Ovis aries: one gene and its partners. The protein of the gene in region 3 purifies or fractionates together with the protein of the main gene of each other region. This does not show direct contact. Links are inferred from orthologs where the notes say so. Each region holds a gene or a part of one and is shown on either strand. Other genes may lie near its edges.

Evidence for each region.
Region 1: the proteins of CD84 (region 3) and SH2D1A purify together in Homo sapiens (affinity purification with western blotting; 4 studies listed by BioGRID and IntAct, with this or other methods). This does not show direct contact. The link is inferred for Ovis aries from reciprocal best matches to the Homo sapiens genes CD84 and SH2D1A.
Region 2: the proteins of CD84 (region 3) and SH2D1B purify together in Homo sapiens (affinity purification with western blotting; 3 studies listed by BioGRID and IntAct, with this or other methods). This does not show direct contact. The link is inferred for Ovis aries from reciprocal best matches to the Homo sapiens genes CD84 and SH2D1B.

What each region holds. Positions count from the first base shown.
Region 1 is NC_056080.1:108,291,156-108,295,301, reverse strand, and holds the start of SH2D1A (SH2 domain-containing protein 1A), read right to left. Parts: upstream 2,803-4,146; 5' UTR 2,628-2,802; coding exon 2,491-2,627; intron 1-2,490.
Region 2 is NC_056054.1:113,946,661-113,950,691, forward strand, and holds the start of SH2D1B (SH2 domain-containing protein 1B), read right to left. Parts: upstream 2,803-4,031; 5' UTR 2,675-2,802; coding exon 2,541-2,674; intron 1-2,540. UniProt on the Homo sapiens protein: Cytoplasmic adapter regulating receptors of the signaling lymphocytic activation molecule (SLAM) family such as CD84, SLAMF1, LY9 and CD244. In SLAM signaling seems to cooperate with SH2D1A/SAP.
Region 3 is NC_056054.1:111,591,734-111,595,246, forward strand, and holds part of CD84 (SLAM family member 5), read right to left. Parts: intron 2,933-3,513; coding exon 2,870-2,932; intron 1,211-2,869; coding exon 1,145-1,210; 3' UTR 1-1,144. UniProt on the Homo sapiens protein: Self-ligand receptor of the signaling lymphocytic activation molecule (SLAM) family.

The sequences.
Region 1 (4,146 bases), on a different chromosome or scaffold from region 3:
TACTAAAAAAGAGGAAATGAAATGTTTACGTTTATCAGAAGGGATCCTTGGCTCAAAAAAAAGCTGAGAAACTGTCATAAAAGGCACTGTATCATTGTGTCTTCCCTCTGCAGCAGTCTGGCCATTAGCCTCTAGGACTTGGAGGCCCAGTGTGCCCACTGAAAGATATGTTAGGGGGACTCCCAATTTGCCGACTATTTTCTGCTACTTCATAAAAAGGTTTGCATGGAGAACCTACAGTCATAAAAACTGCATTTAGGCAAGATTCACTTTGGACAAAAACTTAATCTGCGAATTTCCCATCTGTCTAAGTTAATTCCTTACGTGGCCCTGGCCAATTTGAGTAATAGGCTAAGATTATCCTTCTCTCTTGCATCTTTTACCAACTATAATCTTCTGCAGAAGATAGAGCACACATTATTATTCTTGTTTTAGAAATATGGAAACCAAGACCTACAAAAGTTGAGTGATGTCCCAGAGGCCACATCCTGGCCTCCTGATATCAGCCCAAAAGCCTACTGCCATAAAGAATTTGCCTTGACAGTTCATTCATTAATTCAGAAACATTTATTGAGTGCCTGTTGCATGCCTCATGATACCTGTTGCATGCCAGGCTGTGTTCCTGGTGCGGGAGATGGTGTCTCTGCCCCAGAGAGATTACATTGTAGCAGGAGAGCCCAGCAAGACAAAAGTAGACAAGCAAACGTCAGACAGCTGAAAGCTCCCAGAAGAAAACTAAAGTGACAGATTATAACTGGGACAGGGAGAAGGGACTTATTTTAGAGGCTAGTCAAGGAAGTCCTCTCTGAGAGAAGAGGGAGAAGGAACAGTTAAGTGTGAAGATCCTAAGCAAGGAGCAGCTTGGCAAGCTCGAGAAACAACAAAGAGGCCAGTGCGTCTGAAGTCTTAGGAACATCCTGCCACACACTGTCCCCGGCTCTTCCTTCCCTTCCCAGGCCTTTTGTACCTTAATTTTTACCTCTAGGTTGAGGGTCCCATTACCTCCTTTGGTGAGCTTTCCTAAAGAAGCTCCTCTCACCAGTTCACTCACTCCTCCACCTTCTATTGATAAGAAAAGAGCCTAGGAATACGAGTTGGCTTTCACTGACCTACCCCAGTTTTCACTTTCGAGAAACAATAATATAAGGAAAACCTAAAATCTGAGCCCAAGGGATTCACTAGCTTGCACATATATCCCTTGTAGCTTTTATAACAAACGTTTTTAGCATGGCCTGAGAGTTGCCACAAATATGCCTTGCCCATTTAAAAATAATACAATAAACAATGAAAATCCTCTAACACCAGGCTCAATACAATCTCTCATCAATGACCTAAAGGAACTTCAAAATCTTGCCATGTATCATCAGACACCAAAATTACAACCAAGCATTTTCCCTCATTTTGTTTCTGTCTAGAAGCTACTGTACAGGGCTGCTGCTTTCATGAGTGTTTTTACCCTGCTAACAAAGAGTGATTGAGCTAGGGACTTCCTTAGAAACACCCCGTGAGTACTTAAAGATATTGACTGAAATATATATACATTTTATATATATATATAATATATTATAATAAAAAGTACTGAAAGAGAGTGAAAAAATAATAACAACAACAGCTTACTTTTACTGAACACTTAGTATGCATCAGGTCCAGTGCTAAATTTTCTACGTGCATTACAGCATTTAATGCTCAGTCCTATGAGGTAGGTAGTAATATTACACTTTTTGGACAAGAAAACTGAGGGACTGTGAGGTTAACTTGCCAAAGCCAGCATCAGACTAGCACAAGATTAGGTCTTAGCTCTGCCTGACCCTGGAGCCCTGGAGCAAAGATGAAGGTGCATCTGATTCAAAATGGGGCTTTAGACCAAGAGATGCTTAGGTAAAGGGCAAAGCTGAATCATACCAGGGTGCTTTCCCTCCATGTCCTTTACGACTATTGTCTCTCCCAGCGTTTATCACGGAAAGGCCCTATTTCTGAAACCCCACCCCACCCCCCTCCAACTCCTGTAAAGAAAGCTAATTAAGCAAATCCAGAGAGGTGGTTTTATTCAGAAACGTCCCTCTCTCCCACATCCTGACCTAACTGGTATTGCTGTCTTAAAGGATTCCATTTCTTAGTCTTCTTCCTCTCCTTGAATTTGAAATCTTCCTTTGGGAAGATACCTTCAAAGCCATTGCCAGAGGGCTGGAGAGAAAGGCCTCTCCTCTGAGGAGCTGGTGGCCCTATATCTGGCCATTCCCTCATCCCAGGCCTCCACCTTGCTGGCCTCTACCAGAGGTCCAACCTGAAGCCAGGAGCCTGAGTCCTTTTGGCAGCAAAGGTAAATTCTAGGCTCCTTTTCCTCCACTGCAAAGAGCATTCCTACAGCCGCCCCCAAAGGCGCTGGAGAAGACCCTCTGAAGAGCAGGAAGCCCAGGCGAGACAACCCCAGTGAGGGACGTGAGCCGCACGGTGGGCAGTGGGGGCTCCAGGGCCCCGTCATGTACTCACAGCACACACAGACAGTACACGCCGGGAACACTCTCGCTGTCCCTCAGCAGATAGCTGCCATCCAGGCCCGTGGCGAGCAGGAGCTTCTCCCCCGTCTCCCGGCTGATCTTGCCATGATACACAGCCACCGCGTCCATGGCCAGGGGACAGTAGCAGGGAAAGGCCGCTGTTGCTGCTGCCGCCGCAACCAGGCACGACTCAGCCACCTGCCTCCCTGTTCAGCCAGATGTTCAAAAAAGAGAAAGGAGCGCCCCAACAACAGGATGTTGTCTACCTGCCTCACAGCCTCCTTCTCGCACTTCAGTGAAAACCAGGTCAGCAGTTTAGCAGCTTGGCTACTGCCCTAGGGTTCAATTCCCCCCTCCCCTCTCTGCTCCGCCTCTGCCACAAAAGGGTTGGGGTGGATGGATGGACAGAGAGGGGAGGACTATTGGAAGAAGGTCCTTGCAGGATGTGGCCTGTGCTCCCAATGCATGCAGACACGAATGCCTGGTAATGTTTCTGTCCTTGTAGTTTTCCCAGGAAGGCCACCCTGACTTAGCTTAAATAGTCCCCAAAGGGGTTAATGAGACAGGGAAGCCGTGTTGATCTTCATGTGGGGCAGAAACATACTGACAGAGAATGAAAGGCCCAAAAGCTCTGAGACCAAAACACAGAGGTCATCAGTATTGTCAGTGGGTGATCCCCACTGAGCACAGGCAGGAGGCTCCTAGGGAATCAGAGGCAAGAAGTGAACAGCGGACTTGGGATCCACTGCCTCCCCTCCCCAAACCCTCCCCCTTCTCTTTGACTCCTCCTAGTCATCTCCAGCAATCTTGATCCTGAACAAATCAAACATTTCCAGGCTTCTTGTCCAAGATCCCAAAGTGCTGGTTGAGGTACAAAAATCAGTCTGTGTCCAAAGATGTTCCAGATGTATCTATTTGATGGGCCTTAGATGAGAGAATAAATCATTTCATTGGTGTTTTGCCTTCATGCGGACTTGTCTGTGCCTTTTGACATACAGGGCCTACCTTTTAGCATTTGGGACATCAAACTTAAGTCCATTGTGAGTGTTGATAATTGCGTTGTATCTTTTATCATCTGTAGTTAGTAGAGAATATGGTTTTTGTTCAATTGATGCTAAGCTATCAAATTTTTTAGAACCTTTCAACCTTTGTTTCCTTCTCTCTTGTATTTCAAGATGTGCTGTTAAGTAATATTTCCCCCAAACTTCCTCATTTTTCACTAGAACGAGACCTTGTTTAATGTTTGAAGCTGAATGCTCTTCTACATTTTTTCTTTTGAGTGTGTAACATACTTTTCTTTTTCTTTTTAGATTGTTTTTGATGTAGACCATTTTTAGTCTTTATGGAAGTTTTTATAATATTGCTTCTGTTTTATGCTTTGGTTTTTTGGCTGCAAGGCATCTGGGATCTTAGCTTCCCATGCATGTATGCTAAGTCGCTTCAGTTGTGTCCAATTCTTTGCAACCCTGTGGACTGTAGCCCACCAGGCTCCTCTGTCCATGGGATTCTCCAGGCAAGAACAGCGGAGGAGATTGCCATGCCCTCCTCCAGGGGGTCTTCATCAAACCCACACCCCCTACATCAGAAGGTGAAATCTTATACCACTGGACCACCAGGGAAGTCCCTGTAAAATACTTTTTAAAATTAA
Region 2 (4,031 bases), about 2.4 Mb from region 3:
TTCCATGTTAATGAAGTTTTGATTTTCTTCTGTCGGTTTGTCGTTAACAGTTTTTTTGTTGTTGTTCTTGTTATAATGGTCATATTTAGCCATCTGTTCTTTTTCGTTTTCTGGTTTTGTGTCTTGTTAGAAAGACTTTCTCAATTCCAGGAATATTTTTTAATAGTTCATGTTTTCTTTTAATATACATGGTTTCATTTAGAAAAAAGAAGTTCTGTATTAGAACCACTTTGAATTAACTTTAAGAAGTAAGAAAGGGATTCAGGTTATTTTTTCTAAGTGACCAGTCAAGGGTTCCAACACAGTTAATTATCATTCATCTTTTCCTCACTAATTCGAGATGATCTTTTGAATATAAAGTAAATTCCATATGTATTTCACTTTATTTCTACCAGACTCTATATTCCAAATATTTGATTGATCTCTCAGTACCAAACTCTTTTAATTATTGCAGTAATTACTGTAGTAATGTATTTTAGTATTTAGTAAAGCTAGTCTCCCTTCTTTTAATAAAAAACTTTTCTGGCTCTCTAGCAGGTTCCCTGTGTTTTATTTCCCATCTGGATAAACTTTACTATCTTTGAAGAGAAAATTTAAGATTCTGTTGATTTTTTTTTACTGAAAAAATGCTGAATTTATAGATTAATTATGGTGAACTGGTAAGTTTCTAAATGGAATTCTTCCTTTCATTTAAGTCTTCTAGTAAGCTCCCCAGTGGATACTTAAGTTTGCACATTTCATATTATATTTATTCCTAAGTATTATTAATTATTGCTGATGTAAATGAGGTGTATTATATTTTCTTACTAGTTATTATTTCAGTATGGAAGCTGTTGATTTTTAGATTTCAATGATAAAAGCTGTTATCTCTACTGAATTTCTTAAAGATTTTAGTAGGTTTTTTTTTTCAGTTAAATCTAGATTTCAAAGGTATAAAGTCATGTTAACTGTAAATAATAATTTTACATCTTCCTTTTCAATTTTTACATTTATTTCTTTTGATTAATTACACTTGCTGATATCTCCTGGAAAATGTTACATAGTAGTACTCACAATTACTTTGGCTCATTCGTGATGTTAGGGATAATTCTTCCAGGGCTTCATCTGGTGGTAAGGAAGCATCTGTCTGGCTATATATGGTTAGGAGTGTGTAAGTGAGTGCATGCATGTGCACATGTGAGTATGTGTTTAATTGAGGGGTAGATGCTGAATTTTATTTAATATCATTTAAGCAAATCTGAATGAGTTATACAGTTTGCAACATCTGACCTATTAATACACAATTAAACTAATAATTTTCCTGACATAGAACCATCCTTAATTTCTTAGATTGGACCATAGTATATTTTAGCATAGTGTATTTTCTGCTTTAATGTTTTACTGGCTTCTCTTTTGTTAGTAGTTTATTGAAAATTAATAGTAAATGAAATTTAAATTGGTCTGTAGCTTTCTTGTGTTTGTGCGTCTTTTTTTGAAAAAAAAAAAAAAGTTTTACCTGCATACACAGAAATTGGAAAAAATCAGTAGAAAGAAGACAACAACTCAAGCTAAAAATGGGTAAAGGATATGATGATGCAGTTCTCAAAAGAAGAATTAGTGATGGCTAAAAAATACATGAAAGCACTCTCAACATCACTTGTAACTTGAATTCAAACTGCTAACACCTGAAGACTGCCTTTCTTATATCTGGATTCCTGGTGTCACATAAAGAAAGAAGGACATCCCTGTCTATTCTGTCAGTAATAGCACTCTTTCTTCCCCAGTTCTAAGAAGCACTGAAGCTTATCCTTGGAGACACTTGGGTTTTAATTCTTGTAAAAGGTAAAGAAAAATTCAGTGGTCTCCACAAACAGGAGAATCCTTTAAAGATAGTTGATTTCCCCTGATATCTGTTTAAGATTGGTTTTTAAACTGGGATAAGCAACTTCCTTCAGCAGTATGGCTCTGATGCTCTGGCTTAAAGTTTCACATGGAACTCAGCTTCTTTGGAAACACCAGATGTGTTGTAACACAAGCAAGTTGTTGCACACACCCCAGGGTCTGTTTCTACATCGACAAAATGGTGGCTTGCCTTGACAGACTACAAGCAGGACGAAGGGAAATAATGTCTGCCGAAGCCTTCTACAAATGTAACGAAGTTTGAAATGTTATTAGTATCTTAAAAATCACAAGCCGAGCCAGCCATGTAAAACCTTGGCTTCTCAGGTTAAAATTTCATGTTTTCCTTACTAAATAAATCAGCCTCCATAGGAGAGGAACTTTCTCGCATGGCTGCCTTCTCTCCTCTCTGCTCCCTTCCTATATTGCTTGAAGCCTTATCCTCCCACCACCCCCGCTTCTGCTGCTCCACAGTGTCTGCGTGTGGAGGGAAGGAAAGGTAAAGGAGTTTAGACAGACATGTTCCTTCCATTTCCTCGTGGCAGTGTCTAGCTATTTCTCATTGTGCTCGTCTGGGCTGCAAAGTCAGTGAGGAACAGTTTCTTTTCCACCTGGTTATCAGTCCTACACTTAACATATGCATGGAAGGTGAGGCTACTCACGAGACGCAGAGGCACAGGACCCCGGGCATCGACTCGCTGTCTCTTAACAGATAGTTGCCATCCACTCCTTCCTTGAGCAGCAAGGTCTCACAGTCTCGCTTGGACAGAGGGCCATGGTAATAAGGCAGATCCATGGGGAGCCCTCCGGTACCCCAAGATGAGGGACGAATCTGAGGAGAGAACTGGAGGCAGCTGGCCTAAATGGGGCCTGTGGAAATACCTCTTCTTGCTCTGGCTCATAGGAGTGAGACAAGTTTATTCTGTGGGACTCAGATAGTTTCACAAGATTCAGGAAATGAGAGAGGTGGGGTGATAAAGTGACCAAGACACTTCAGCCTATAAGTGGCCTAAGTATGACTCACGGAAGTGGGTTAAACTATGTCTGAAATACACAGTGGAATCAACAATGTCTGTGGTTCAAGCTCAATGCTGAACACAAGCTCCTCAGAATTGGTTGCAGCCATCCTTGTATTTCACCCTAAGTCACCAGTTTTCTGCTTCTCTGGCTCGTGGCATCCCTTCCAAGGATGCTTTTGGCTGAAAGGGGATCCCATCTCCTGCTGAAGCCACCCATGGGTATGCTGTGCTCAGCTCAGAACAGGTGCTCAAAAAAAGTGTACAGATGCTGAATGAATCCAGGTATATCCAGAGGCAGTGGAACAATCGAAAGGTAGGACATCCATGGATCAAATGACATGAGACGTGTAAGACAGTGATGGGAATAGGAAGCACTGGGCACTGTGGGGGAGGATGGTCCAGGGGGAGTATCGCCTGGCTAGGGCGCCTAGTCGCTGGCGAATAAAGGCCATTTTTAACACCTTCTAGCATTGAGCCTTTTGGGGAAGGAGCTGGTGCACATGGGAGGGAGATCTGGATATGCACAATTAGTGTAGGAATGTTTCTCCAACTGGAAGAAAAAAACATATTAGGCTTTGATTTGAAAAACCTCACGTCCTTTGAGGTTTCCATCCTTTGGGGCATCAGTAATGTTCCTTATAAAGAAAAGTCTATCCAGCCCAGGACACTTAGCCACCCTGGTGTTGACAAGAAAAATCTTTTCTACTGACCCTTTTCTACTTAGGTCAACTGATATTCTTGGAAAAGATTGTTTCTGTTTTCTGAGGATCAGAATTAATCCTAAATGTAATTTCTAAGACTGTTTTCCCTGTTGACATACAGTTGACATGTAACATTCTAAAAATTTGAGGTATAACCATTTAATTTCCTATTTGCAAATGATTACTACCACAGCATTAGCTAACATGGCCATCTTGTCACATACTTACTATTTCTTTATTGTTGTGAGAACATATAAGATCTACTGTTGTAGCAACTTTCATGTAGTATTACTCCTTGTAATCACCATGCTGTACTTCAGATTCCCAAAATGTATTCATCATTTCCTCCAAGGCTTTTTGAGGAACTAAGCCATCCTACACAGTAGTATTTTTTATGTTCAAGTAAATCTTTATTTACAAAAAGAGGCAATAG
Region 3 (3,513 bases):
TGAAGAGGTCTGAGTTGAAAGGCCTGAGAACCAGGAAAGCTGATGGTGGAAGTTCCAGTCCAAATGCAAGGCAGAAGGCTAATGTCTCAGATCAAAGACAGTCAGGCAGTGAGAGAGAATAGATTCTCCCTTACTCTGCCTTTTTTTATATTCAGATTTTCAATTGATTTGATGATGCCCCCCACGTGGAGGGGAGGATTAATCTGCTTTACAAGGTGTATCAATTCAAATGCTTATCTCATCCTTCACACTCACGTCCTGAATAATGCTTAACCAAATATCTGGGCAACCCATGTCCCAGTTAAGTTGACACACAAAATGAACCATTACAGAGGGATACAGAAGGAAAACTTAGCCATAAAAAAAATATGTGGTTCCTGAAGTGGAGTCTAAAGAAAAATGCCCCAGAAGTCTAGTCCTTACAGAAAGAACATGTTCCAACACTCCATTGGAAGAGTGTGTCTGCACAGCTGAGACCCACGGCTCTGACATCTTTCCATGCCACACAGTGATATAGGGTTGGGCTGGTCCAGCCAGGTATACCCTGAACAAATGTTTGCAGGCAAAGGGACAAACAGAGCCTGAAATGCAGTCCACACTCTATATATCAAGTCATGCACTTGAATGAGAGGCTTATCTGCCCAAGGTGTAGGGGTCTGGGTGAGGCCATGCACCAGGGCTTCTCCCATATATTGAGTGTGAACAGAGGCTCTTAAGTGGTGTGTCATGGCAGGTTACAGGTGTGTAAATATTGATCCTCCACATATGAGGTTGCTGGGAAGAGTCATCTCCTCCAGTCATATACAGCCTCCAGCCATGAGCAATCTTGATTGTTTATTCCATTTTATCATAAAAATTATTTTCTCCATGTGTTGCAGTGTGAAGAAGGATGAGAAGCACTGTGCCAAGGGATCTGCCTTGCTATTTGTTAGGAAGTGAGGCATCTTAGAAAGGGCATGATGCATTTGTCTATTTCAGTACAAGTTATGCCCAGCAACAGAGTGTCTCCTTCTTTGCTTACATTTGGAATCTGGTGATCTGTAATCTCTGGGTAAGATCTGGGCAGAGCAAGTCTAGGTCTGGATCATCTGCCAGTATGTGTGGTTGCAGCTCAGTTTCTGTGGGGAGAATTCCATCTGGAAACCTAGATCACAATTTCATAGCATGAAGTCCCAAGCGGTTTGCTGTTCTGAATGCTGGTTTTCTCCATCTGTACAAAAGGGAGAAGAGGGAAATGCTGACTTAAAGGCACTGCTTGGGATTTCCAGTCCCACAGGGAGCCTTTAGAAAGACATCTTAGATTTCCCTGGTTCTGGGGTACTCTGTGGGTAGCAGGATCTTGCCCTTTGCTGAGTCCCTCACCTCTGTTCCAGTCACTCCATTTGGAAGCGCTCTTAACTCAGAAAAAACCGCAGGTGGGGATGTGGGTATCTCCATTGATTTTGATTATAAGCTTGAAGCGACATTCAGGCTCATGTGACCTGCCTTCCTTGTTCCTAGTTAAGTCTTCATTTCTCCTTTACCCCAATAACTTCACCTTGGCTTATATGTAGTGGTGAGTCACTTTCACTAATTCTAAGTATTTACTTAGAATACTGCAGACAACTCTTCAACTGGCTCAGGGAGTCCTAGGTTTTAAATTACGTACTAACCAAACTAGTAATTGCCAACCAACTTGGGTAGAGAGTTTACTATGAGATGTCTCAATCCAGGAGTCCCTGATTAATCCCTCAAATCTACTACTTTCCAGTGTATTTTCTTCTGTTTCCTCCTACTCTCCTTCTAATCCTGGTGCAGACATGCTGGCGCCCTGCTTTTCACTTGCTTCTCTTTCCCCTCCCACCCCACCCCCCTCTCCCTGCCCTTTCCTCACTCATTTTCTTCCTTTTCTTCTTTCTCCTTCCATCTTTGGTCCTTGAGGAAGTCAAAGTCCTTCTGTCTTATTCTCCAGGGCACTTGGTTTATCTTGACATTCAAACTGACCTGTACATTGAGTTCCCTTATGACCTTCCGACTTGTCTAGCTTACAGATGACTCATAGAATCAACTTTTAATTCTTATTCATGAATTCATTTGCATTCCATTTTGACATCCCAATATTTCATCCCACTCGTTGCTTGTTATCATTATCATCCCTTTCTCCCCAGGAATCTGGGTTCAAATTTATCTTTCATGGTTAGCTTCCTGCCTATTAGCTCAGCTATTCGACAGAAACACTTCCAAAATGTTTGATTCACCCAGAGACCCCAAAGCTGTCCTAATTGTGGTGGAAACAAAGACTTTCAGATAATAACAACACCGAAGCAGGTTCCCCAAGCTGAAAGTCCTGTCAAAGGCCAGGACCTGCCTTCCCTCTTTGCTTATTTGAGAGAAGGATGCTGGGGCACAGGGAACATGAGTATCACTAGAGCACTACAAATGCTTGCACAGGTGGCACAGTGTGAAGGTCTGCTGAGGGAACCAGTGGGAACTGGGATCCAACCTGTGTTCTACCTGCCTATCTGTGCATCTGGTGTGGCCCTGTGTCTGCCTGGGGCATGGCAGACCTGCCTTCCAATTTATACACTGTGAGCTAGCAATGGCCCTGGATGTTATTAGAGGCTGAAGTTTCCCCACTGCAGTTCAGAGACCTAGGTGCTCCTTCATAGAAAAGCTGGGAACAGCAATCAAGGAAGCCAGCTTGTAAATGGCCTTGGACCTGGGAAGCAGAGCTGTGTGCATGTGTGGAAGGAGATCAAGGCTCTCAGCAATTAATCTTGAGAAGCACAGGGTCCCAAGGGAACCAGTTTACTCCTGTTTGGTTAGATAAGATGCCAAAGAAAAGTTGGAACAGACAGGACAACAGTGATAAAAATCAGAAAGACTTTACCTTATCAGAGTACTGCATCATGGAGTAAATTGTGTTCACTGGCTCCTCCTTGGTGGGGAGCACCTGTAAAACACCCATCTTGCCCTCAGTGAGGGAGCCCAGGCAAATCTCTTACTTCTGCCTCTGTCCATCAGCCCTCCCTGCTCTCACTTTCACTAAGTGGTTTCCTCTCCCAGCTTCACCTTTGGTTCCATCCAGGTGGAGAGCATCCGGGTCAAGTTGGGGTGGGTATAGGTAGCAATTGGACAAGAACCTCAGAAGCCAAGAAGAACAGTCTGGTTGTTCAGACTGAGTCTTGCTTAATCAGAATTTTAGCTTTTCATAGGCTCTATGAACCCAGCTGAACTATTGGTCCAAGTACAGGGCTGGATTGACCAGGCAGACCTCAATTTCCCTTTCTCTCCTTGGAGACTTCAGAAGAGCAGGCTGGTAGAAGCACAGAGGAAGGTGATGCCATGAGGAAGCCTGGTTCTGGGTGGAGGTGAGGGAGGGGCAGGCAGGTAAAAGGAAGGTGGGAGGGCAGGCTGTGGGACAGAGTGAATCAGCCTATGGAAAATAAGCTGCTGCTGCAGCCAGACCAAGAAGTCAAGTTCAAGTGGACCTCTCTCAGTTTTGTGTCCTTGAAACTCCCTTAGCAACTTATT